Daphnia pulex: one gene and its partners. The protein of the gene in region 2 binds, or shares a complex with, the protein of the main gene of each other region. Links are inferred from orthologs where the notes say so. Each region holds a gene or a part of one and is shown on either strand. Other genes may lie near its edges.

What was found.
Region 1: nuclear pore complex protein Nup160-like (region 2) and nuclear pore complex protein Nup85-like share a complex: the UniProt entries of both Drosophila melanogaster proteins name them as parts of the nuclear pore complex. The link is inferred for Daphnia pulex from reciprocal best matches to the Drosophila melanogaster genes Nup160 and Nup75.
Region 3: nuclear pore complex protein Nup160-like (region 2) and nuclear pore complex protein Nup214-like share a complex: the UniProt entries of both Drosophila melanogaster proteins name them as parts of the nuclear pore complex. The link is inferred for Daphnia pulex from reciprocal best matches to the Drosophila melanogaster genes Nup160 and Nup214.

Annotation. Positions count from the first base shown.
Region 1 is NC_060023.1:4,665,595-4,669,350, reverse strand, and holds the start of nuclear pore complex protein Nup85-like, read right to left. Parts: upstream 2,172-3,756; 5' UTR 2,030-2,171; coding exon 2,015-2,029; intron 1,953-2,014; coding exon 1,844-1,952; intron 1,787-1,843; coding exon 1,200-1,786; intron 1,130-1,199; coding exon 1,007-1,129; intron 894-1,006; coding exon 675-893; intron 548-674; coding exon 1-547. Other genes in the region: rRNA methyltransferase 2, mitochondrial-like, read left to right, coding at 2,404-2,564, 2,672-2,811, 2,880-2,928, 2,993-3,110, 3,182-3,442; nuclear protein localization protein 4 homolog, read right to left, coding at 3,587-3,756. UniProt on the Drosophila melanogaster protein: Component of the nuclear pore complex (NPC) that seems to be required for NPC assembly and maintenance. Required for nuclear import of phosphorylated Mad via importin msk.
Region 2 is NC_060017.1:6,357,058-6,360,035, forward strand, and holds the end of nuclear pore complex protein Nup160-like, read right to left. Parts: intron 2,955-2,978; coding exon 2,702-2,954; intron 2,635-2,701; coding exon 2,277-2,634; intron 2,215-2,276; coding exon 1,945-2,214; intron 1,878-1,944; coding exon 1,547-1,877; intron 1,477-1,546; coding exon 1,145-1,476; intron 1,072-1,144; coding exon 904-1,071; intron 825-903; coding exon 735-824; 3' UTR 654-734; downstream 1-653. UniProt on the Drosophila melanogaster protein: Functions as a component of the nuclear pore complex (NPC). Involved in poly(A)+ RNA transport. Required for nuclear import of Mad. May play a role in double strand break DNA repair. Essential for nephrocyte development.
Region 3 is NC_060027.1:5,448,484-5,452,239, forward strand, and holds the start of nuclear pore complex protein Nup214-like, read right to left. Parts: upstream 2,815-3,756; 5' UTR 2,663-2,814; coding exon 2,630-2,662; intron 2,565-2,629; coding exon 2,226-2,564; intron 2,169-2,225; coding exon 1,978-2,168; intron 1,920-1,977; coding exon 1,611-1,919; intron 1,555-1,610; coding exon 351-1,554; intron 285-350; coding exon 157-284; intron 103-156; coding exon 1-102. UniProt on the Drosophila melanogaster protein: Part of the nuclear pore complex. Serves as a docking site in the receptor-mediated import of substrates across the nuclear pore complex including emb, RanGAP and phosphorylated Mad. Protects mbo/Nup88 from proteasomal degradation at the nuclear pore.

The DNA of each region.
Region 1 (3,756 bases), on a different chromosome or scaffold from region 2:
GATATTTCCCAAGGAAAGCCAATCGATCGCTGGCAAGAAGTCCAGCACCCAGTGAGTCTAGCAAGTCCGTCGAAGTAAAATCTGAATCTTGAAGGTAACTCTTCAGAACAGCATCGGCGGCATAGGTAGCAAGAGGAGCGTCTTGCGCCTTAACAGCCCAAGCGACTGCCGCACCAAGTCGTCCATTGGCCAAGGCCCGTCGACCCATTACACGACAGACGGAAGTTACCACTGATGTTAGTTTTCTTCGCTCGGCAAGTGAAATTATTTTGGTTGCCTTCATTTCCGACTGGCACGGAAGTCGAGTGAGCAAGTGTTCCAGAGTCGCAGAACCAACATTAGGGCAATGGTCAAGATAGAGAACACCAACCGACCACAAGGATTGGTGGCTAAATAAGCAAATCGAGTAGTCACGAAGCAAAGTTTCTCTCAGCTGTAGTGAGTTAATGTCTTCGAACGACTGAAGTGCTCCGGCGTGATACAATAAATCAGCGAGATGTGCCGTAAACCAAGAATTATCCAATACTCCTTGCATTTCTCCAATCACCTGTGACAACAAATTTGAACAGATATAAAACGTTTCCAGTTAATTATGTTGGTAGTGTCTTGATACTTGCATGAACTCTTATCAAACTTGCTTAAAACTCTTATCCATTGATAACAGCGATACTCACTTTACGCGTGTCGCGACGAAGAACGGCCAAAAGTGTTGCATCTAGTGACGTCAAATCATCTAATCCGATTAAGGAAGCAAAAAACTGTTCGGCTTCATCTCCCAAAGATAACGTTCCAATTGTGGGTTGCGTGAACGTTAACTGAGTAATCATTCGTTGATACCAAGTTTCGAAATGATCGCCAACTTTTTCAAATGCTTCTTCTTTGCCACATAGTATCTTTATCGTAAGTAAATAGAAAGTTTATGTAAGTTAGACAAAAGACATACAACATAAACTAATGAAAATAAAAATGGGAATTAAGAGATCATTATATATAAAACATTATATACCTCCATTAGAAGTTCTAAATCTTTTGATTCGAAGAAATCTCCAGCTTGAGTGCGAGCCTCACATTCTTCTTTCCAATGATTCCATCTGAAGGTAAACTCTGGAGCAGAAACAGTTGAGTTGGCCTAAATAGAACAGAAATACTTAGGAGATAGAAAAATTGTTAATCTATCTAAATTACAAGAACTTTCTTACACTAAAGACTGGCATTTTCTTCAGCAACTCATATGCACTCTGAAAAGCTTCACTCTGGAAATCAGGATGAATTCTTAACAGTTTGGTAGCACTTTCTAAGCGTAACTGAAACACTAGTCCATAGAGAGCTTTCCAATAGCTTTCATGGAGTCCAGGATTTGGTGATGCTAAAACTGTACCAGTTTCTTCTACTGCATTTGGAAAATGAATACGAATCCATTCTAATAGGTGTGGCAGAATTCCAAGTGGGTTCTCAAGATACAGAATTTCACACAAATTCCACACCAACTCAGCTTTGTAAAATATTTCACTCATTTCTTGAAGTGCTTGATTAGATTCAACACTGTTAGCAAGATCTGCTGCTTGGTTCAAATCTTCAATGCATGCATTCATTATACAACGATACTGATGACTGGATTTAATTAACTCAGATGAGCTGATTTGGCCATCTGTGCCAGCCTTAATTTGTAAAGAAGTAAATGCTCCACAGGATTCATTGACCAGCTTGCGAACAAAAGGATTGTACAAGGTTCGCTCCCAAGAAATTGTATAAAGCTTCTTCTTACAAGTCTGGGGACTAACTGGACCTGTCATTGAGAAAAACTTAGTAGGAGTTTTTTGGCTAACTTCCAGAAAGAACTTACCAGAGGTGATCGACTTGGAAAATTCTGTTGGAAATACAGCCAAGCTGTTACCATAACCCCAAGAATGCCCAACATCTTTGTTGTATGCAAATAGAGGATCTTGTATTCCCTAAAACAAAGAAAGTTTGGTTACAAATATGTATACCATGAACAATTCGAAATTATTATTACAATAGGTTCAAGCATTCTGTAAAATGCGTGAAAATCACGTCACAAATCGTAATTGTGTGTAGGATTCAGAAGGATTTCAACTAACAGTCAGAACTCGTAACGAGTACTTTTTTGAAATATTTCTAATCTGTCGTCTGCTGCTTCGGTTTTACACCATACTGCAATGGCCATGGTTACGGCGGTAACTATGACCTGTGCTGCCGAATGTCGATAGCGGAAATTTCAATTTTCGTGGCTGCTTGTTTGTTGACAAAATATCATAGTCTACTTGATCTTATTAGGTGATGTTATATTGCTGTTTCATTAATACTTTCAAGTTGTTTATCGCTTTTCACCTGAAGAATTTATTTGATCCATATTAAAATATCCGTTTCAACAAAGTTTTTGCTATGAACATTGCCGTTTGTTCAGTAAGACAGTTTTGTTCGTCTTCAACATGCTTTAAAAAAGTGCCCGATCGGCTAAAGGGCCGCAGTAAAAGTTCTCAAGAATGGCTAACTCGGCAAATGAATGACGAGTATGTTCTTAAAGCCAAAATGGAAAATTATAGGTAGTAATTTTCAAATAAAAATTATGATTTCAATATTTTCAATTAACAGGCTATAGCTTCAGTTTAATTGTTGTCTAATATTTACTACTTCTTATTAACCAAGAAAGAGCTAGAAGTGCCTTTAAATTGATTGAAATTGATGACAAACACAAATTCCTTAAACCTGGAGATGTGGTTGTAGAATGTGGCGCTGCACCTGGTGCTTGGACACAAGTATGTGTAAAACGAATTAATGCAACAGGAAAAGGTAGATTGAATTGTTTAACTATTTAGCCTAATTAAAATGACACTAGAATGTTTATGGATTTCATGCAGTGTCTTCTCAGCTTAAAGGAAAGCATGTAGCAGTTGATCTTCAACCAATGTAAAAGGGCTGCAAAGTTTTGGTACCCTTAGTTCACTAACATTATTCAATTTTATTCTTTCAGGTACCCAATTGAAGGAGCTGTAATCTTGGCTCCATTAGATTTCACAAAAAGTTTGTCCCAGACCAGAATAACAGAAATACTTGGTGGGCAACTTGCTAATGCAGTCCTAAGTGATATGGTAGGGCTGATTTTATTTCAGTTTTTTTTTACCTTAAATTATTTCAATTAATATTTGCTAATTAAATTTAGGCTCCTGCAGCATCGGGTATACGAGATTTGGATCAAGATAGGATATTAGAATTAGCATATTCAGTGCTGCGTTACGCGCAACAAATCTCTATGGACGGAGCTACGCTATTGATAAAATTATGGGCAGGAGGAAGAATCAAACAACTGGAGAATGAGATTGCATTACACTATTCTCAAGTCAAAGTTGTGAAACCACCTAGTAGTAGACAGGATTCAGCTGAAATGTTTATACTAGCTAGTAATTTCAAGAAAAATACATAGTAATTATTTAACTACTTACTTTGCTTTATTCACATTGAAGTCTACTGAAATTTTGCTTCATCCATGTATTCAATTCACCTTAGTTACATCACTGACTCTAAGCACACTTTTAACAGTTTGATTGGCCGGTGACAATTTTTAAATTTAGTGTGGCAAATTGCAAATCTCACACGAAGATAAATTAGGCATATTGATGAAAGTGCAGTGAAGACAGGTCCAGGATTTGCCAGCGGCATCTCCGGTAGCACCTTCTTCCATCGGTTGCCCTGGTGTCGACATTTGATCAGCGTGAGCCAGGAGCTGACGGACAGTGC
Region 2 (2,978 bases):
CACAACAACTTTGAGAACTATATGTTTATTCGTCGATTTTTATAGGCTCAAACTTTCTCCTCAAACGGAGGCTGTTTGACCTATTTTGGTTTATATGTTTTACCACACTTAAACGGTACCTCGTTCCAAATAGTAAAAAATTCTGACCTGCTACCCCTCCGCTATACGGGACATACGGACAAGGTCTTCCGGGTCGAGACACTTCCAGGTCGCCATACTTAATCGCCTACTTTCTCAAGGGAACAGTTAGGTTAACCATTAACCGTTAGAATCTCACAGATTTTAAAAATCACATTAGTCAAACTACTTTTGCATTTGATAAAATGTCTATGATATTGTCATTAATTTTGAATTCATCTTTTATAGAAATTAATAAGAGGCTACGCTAATAATGATTCAAACCAACAATTTCTTTTTAAAATCAGGTGAAATATTTGATTAATTGATTAAATGACTGAGGACTAACCATACAAAACTGGATGTAAAAAAAATGACGTTGTTCAACTTACAATTTGAGTGAAATAACAAAATCTGTCCAATTCTTTTGCGTCAGCGTCATGGTCGAGGAAACAAACAAATGTTTGTTTGCTGACAACCTTCCGCAAAATATTTACAAGGAAAATTACTGTTAATTTTTTTTCATTCTTTCCAAGTCGAGGAAATCTCAGTATTTATTACACAGTTGAAATGGTAATACAAAATTCAGGGTTTTATTAATAAAAAAAGAAAGAAAGCTAAGACATGGATAACTCGACAAAAGAGCGACTAACACGTTCAGCTGTTTGGAAGTAAGCGTGCAATTTGCCTTTCATGTCATTCAGTAACTGAAAGTCAAAACATAAAAATGAATTAACATTCAATAAATAATAGGTAGAAGAAAAAAATAAACAAACAAGCATTTACCGATTTATAGGTAGAATCATTACAGTTGGCTTCCAATTCCATGATTAAACGATCGAAAACTGTGTAAGGCATCCATACAGGAGGTGCGTTGATCTGGAGCGGGTTGCTGTCGAATCCAAAGTACTCCTTCCCTTTTCCCAGCATCGCATCCATCAATTCTAGAGCTACCTATTAAAAGTCAGGCAAAGAATCCGTTAAATCTATATTTATTTAAAATAATTCCAATAAAAACTATAAATACCTGAGCTGCATCTTCTAAAAGCCCTGCTTGATGATAGATGCTGATAAGTTCTCCTGGATTCCTCAATTTGTAGCTGGCGGCCAACCAATAAGGCAAGGTGCAATCTAAACCGAGGATTTTTTTGGCCGCTGCACGATGACAGCGGGTTTGCTTGTCCCCTCCTTCTGCTTTTGGTAGGATCCTCTCTAATAACCGCCAGGCTTGCTCTGAAGCCTTGCCTACTCCAGACGATTGATTCAGAGACAACCAAATCCAGGCTTCATCCTCGTTGGCCCGTTCTCTCGATAGGGCCACGCAATTGGCGGCCAAGTGTTCCACGACCGGAGACGTATCTTAAGTCACACAAGCAGAAAAACATGCTTAATGTACTTCTGACAAGGTAATAACAATAATAAAAAATACCTTTGACGTCAAAGATCCTGGCAATGCGCAGTGCCGATTCGTAGCGGTTGCGTGAAGTCAAAAGCGCTACCACGTCCGAAGGAGAAAGAGATGTGATTGACTGTCCAAGATTGATACAAGCGTAGCTGAGTTCATATTCTTTTTCAATATCAGCATACTCGATGACGTCAACCGTATGTCTAAACGGTTCTGATGAATCCTTACGATTCAACGTAGTTACTGGTTTAACCAACCAGGCTTCCTGTCTAGAGACTAGGCGCAGGGCGTTGAGACAAGCCAAAAGACATTTGACCATTTTGGCTGACTCTCCTTCACATCCATATCGAAGTGCCTTTAATGAAACAAATTACATCAGTAACGGTGATCCAAGGCCTAAAGTGGTTGATAGTACACATTACCTGTTCGTGCATCACAGCGGCAGCTTTGCGCATTTTACCCTGGCGGACGTGAAATGCATAGAGAAAGGAGTAATAAAGCGTCATAGATAGAACATCTGATGAGCGAGCCCTTCTCTCCACAATTTTTTCCAATTCTGATTCCAATCCGGCGTAAGGGAAAGTTAAAAGAATATCCATCTGCTTGCGTTCCAGCAAAATATTGACCAGACGTCCAAGAGTTTCAGGTCGCTGACTGCTATCCGGATTATTTACGATGGCTTCGTATGCTTCCTATTAGCAGTGAATGGATACGTAAGGGCGTGAAATCTGATAAAATGCGTTTGATTTATTACCTGATAGTGGCCCAAGTTCAAATGAAGCTTGGCAACAATCGACCATATTGTAGGCAAAAGGGGGTCGTCCGTTTTACTACTGTTTAGGGCTACAAGAGCCACACGAAGAGCAGCACTGCATAGTCCCGCCTGCTCTAACAATTGGACGCATATGAGATGAAAGCGCATCACCGGATCAGCACGACTTCCAGCGTCACCACTTTCATTCGCTCCCTTTGTGACAATCGAGTGAAGAAGTTGTTCTTTGATGATTCCTTCAGCAGCTTCAAGCATCCACTTACTGGCTTTATCTCCTTCACCGGTAGCCACAAGTGCGACAGCCATCAGAAATTTTCGAGAGCACGTATTCCATTCACACCTGGGCGGAATTTGCATTTAAAAAAATCAATAAACGCATCTAATATTGAAGTACAATATTTACAAACCAGTTCTGTTGCAGGCGGACGTATCCCTGTACGGCCAAGGGTTGGAAGCGTTCCATCAGAAATTCCATGAAAGTCATGTGATTTCCAATGGGCCAAAGCAGCTGGCCAATGGCTTTCATAAAGTGTGGGAAAACATCTAACCAAGAGGACGTCCATTCAGCAGCATCTTCTTCCTGCAGGACCATTTCTCGTACAGCTTGACCTCCATCCAAGGATAGGAAGAGTTCAACCAAGCTCTTGCACGGCAAAGTCGCTATGGAATTGTTTAATCAGTATT
Region 3 (3,756 bases), on a different chromosome or scaffold from region 2:
GATTGAGTTTCCCCTTCTCCTCTTATACTTGACGACAAAAGAGAATCAGCCAGAACAGCCAGTTCAGACTCCCATTTTCTTGACTCATCACCACTCTTTGGTCTACAGAACACACAATTAATTCAATAATTAAGTGAATTTATGAATGGCAAATACCTTAAAGCTTCGAAGGCTGCACCGGCGAGTTTCAGTTGCTGTTCTTTGCTCTGAACCATAATTCGTTCAACACGAGATTTTAACTGTGATATTACTTTCGTATTGTTTCTAATTGCTTCATAAATAACCTGAGATGAAATAAATCATAGGATGCTGAATATTTTAGAGTAATAATAATAATAAAACAAGCTTACCTGAGTTATTGGGATTTCAATTTTGCGGGTGTCTCTAGTACGGTCTCTGCTAATCGAATCTAGGCTTCGTGAAGCTTCTATAAGCTGCTGTTCTATGTGAACGTGCAAGCGCTCAATGCCGTCCATTTTTCTGCGATTGCCTGGATCTAGAGGCCGTAACTTGAGCAAATGACAGAAATGAGAATTTTTGCGACGAGCACGTCGAACACGGGCATCTTCCAAAAGGGCGGCAACTTCTACCAAATCAGTGCACAAGCCTCGAACTTCTTCGTCTTGCACTTTGGTAGTATCGACCAGATCCACACCAAACTCAGCCAGATCGGATGTCATCTTTAACAATCGTTCTTTCTCCTCATCACTCGCGATCGTAACTTTCAAAGTCAACGAACGAGCTTTGAATTCCTTCAAGTCTTGAACGAATTTGGCCACTTCGTCACGTAATATTGCAGCGGCAGCGCCCATGGATGAATGGATGTTAGATTCATCTGCGATTGGAGTTTGACTTGTAAGTTTGACAGTAAGTGGAGTAGCTTTCGGGACAACCGGAACCGCTTCTATCTTCACAGCTGGTACAACAGGTGCAGTTGCAACTTTCGTCACTGAAGGTAAGGCAGGTTGAAGTTGGGGTTTGTTGCCCAAAAACGAGTCCGAAATAGGCGGATTTGAAGGTAATTTCGTTGTAACTGGGACTGCTAAGGAAGGAGCATCCGCAAATGCAGCAAATCGTTCTCCAAGATTTGTTCTAGGAAATGCAATTTTACCAGCAGCAGGTAATGGAGTGGAAGCTGCTAATGGAGCCGCCTTGAGACCAATTCCACTAAGCGCTGGTCTCTCACCAGTGACCGACAATTCTTGAGGAGCCTGATTGAATTTGGCAGCACCGTTCTTTAGATTGATAACATGAAACGGGCAAAGCAGACCATGAGTGCTGAGTATGAAAAGAATGGGTGCGGGCGGTAAAGTTTGATTGTCATCCCAACTGATTGGAATTTGGCTAGTGGTATCGATGGCCATTCCCAACGGGTTAGTCTCAGCATTCTCATTTAATGGTAGTTCAGCTCGCCATTCACCTTCTAGTGCCCATTGCCTCCATTCAGGGTGATCAGCATCTCCAGCTCCTGTTTGAGCTAGTACGGCAACTTCTATTGCGTTAGCTGAACAAGCCAATAACACATTCCATGGGGATAAACTCAATGTTAGATAACTAAAAAAGAAACAAAATTCATTATATTGATAATAAAATGAAAAAAATTCGTATACCTGTGTGGTCTTTCAGACGGACTTCCGTAGCAAACATCGTCATAATCTATGAAAGTTGTTGCCCCCGATTTTTGTACGTTGACTATGTAGAGGTGGGGACGAGAATTGGGTTCATTTTGATCAACAAACGTTACAAGGAACTGAGTTGTAGAAAGCCACTGAAGTCCACAAACCATTGGCTGAGTCATATGGACATCGCTACCACTAAACGCTATAGTCTTGGCTTCCTTTAAATCAGGCTTATACTGAACTAGTTTACTAGGCCTGGCCACAACTAGCTGTTTTCCTTTGGGACTCCAACAGACTGACCTAATAATTCAATAAAATTAAGAAAATAACATACATACAAAATAGGATATTCACATACTGGGCTCCTGTACTTGATGGAAGGCTATTTATAGTGAATTGAGTGTTGTTGATCTCCACTGCAACTAAAGAGCCATCACTAAGACAGACAGCTACTAGAGTTGGTATAACAGGGTTCCACGCACAATCTTTCACAGTAACTCCATCAGTAGACGAAAGCCTGACTTCCTGGAAGGGATTCCATTCACCTGACTGAAAAAGATTTTAAATCTGTTTCAATCACACAAAATGAAATTCCTTAAATCATACCTGTCTTGCAAATCCACGAACATCATACATCCAACCTACTGAGCATCCAGATTTTTGAAGGCACACCATTAAGGTAAGATTATCAGAGCTCAGTGTTACAAAACTAGGTTTGTTGGGTAAAAGAATTTCCTTGATGGGAAATGATGATATTTCTGATTTTTTTGATGTTGTATTGTCAATTTGTATAAGATCTGAAACTTTGATGACAACAAGTTTGTCAGGTGTCCCAACAAAGATCAGACCAAACAAATTAGAAGTAGCCAGCAATGATGTGGTGTCCTGTACATCATATTCCTTTTTAGTGACTCTAAACTTACACAGCTGTTTCATTTTGAAGTCCTGTTGTTACAAGTTAGATTGGTTGAATTGAAAGAAAACAATAAAAAAATGTATTTTAAAATTACCAAGACTTCAACAGGATCAGGAACGTTTGCCATTATCAGTTTCAATAATCAATGTAATATTCGGATAGAAAATCACACCGCACTTTCAACCTTATTTTGTTGCAAAGCCAAAGCCGGTCGAAATTTTATGAAATGTCTAACTGTTTGAGTGCCTCACTGCCTGTCTGCTTGTGACAAGTGAACGCCATCTATCAAAGCAATTTGAATTTTTTTAAATTGTAATAACTCGCGGTTCTTTTTTTTGAAAGGGTAGGGGCTGAGGGGTAGTGTTTCCAATTCTGATCACTTTTGGGGCTATAGTGGAGTTAAGATATTCAAAAGGGAAGGCTTACGTGATACGTCAACCAAATTGCAAGATACAATATTTTCATCAACTTGGTTCATTGAAAACCCTGTTCAAAACGATTAAACAATAAACATTCGATCAAACGAATCATATTCGAGGAATAAATTTACAAATAGGGACTATATAATATACGATAAATCTGATCGTGGTGCACGGTCTCTTTATACGGCAAATAGTCTCTCTTTGAACTAATTAACAAACAAAATTAACTTAACTTAACTTCTAAATAACTTAACATCTATAAGTAAGATAAACTGGCACCTTATCTATTAGGCTACACATTCTGGTCGGTCTGCTCAAATCTGGCTCGATTGGACATTATTATTTTTCAAGAGATTCAATTGGATGATAATTCATGTAACCTTAGTCTAGCATAATTAGACAAAGAATATCCAACTAGGACAAACTTTAGATCCGACTCACTTCCTCATCCCAACCTGTGTGTAGTTCATTCATCTCGATCCCTTTTCTTTATCAGTCCGCAAAAGATGGAATTATTTTTTTTTAAATTTTCTATTCAAATAAACAATTATTGGTTTAATTTGATCAGATTCAGAAACAGCGACACAGCGACGCCATACGGCCGTAGCGCATAAATTCATTTTTAAGCGACGCAGGGAGAAAAAAGATTACTGCTAGTAAACTCTGACTAATCGTTTATTTAAAACTTTTATTTCTTTATTTGTATCAATTATAGCAAGAAGCCAGGATATGATATTTACTTGGTAGTTCGGATAAGCCGGAGATATGGATGCGGGCTTGTATGCAGAGGTTTGTATGA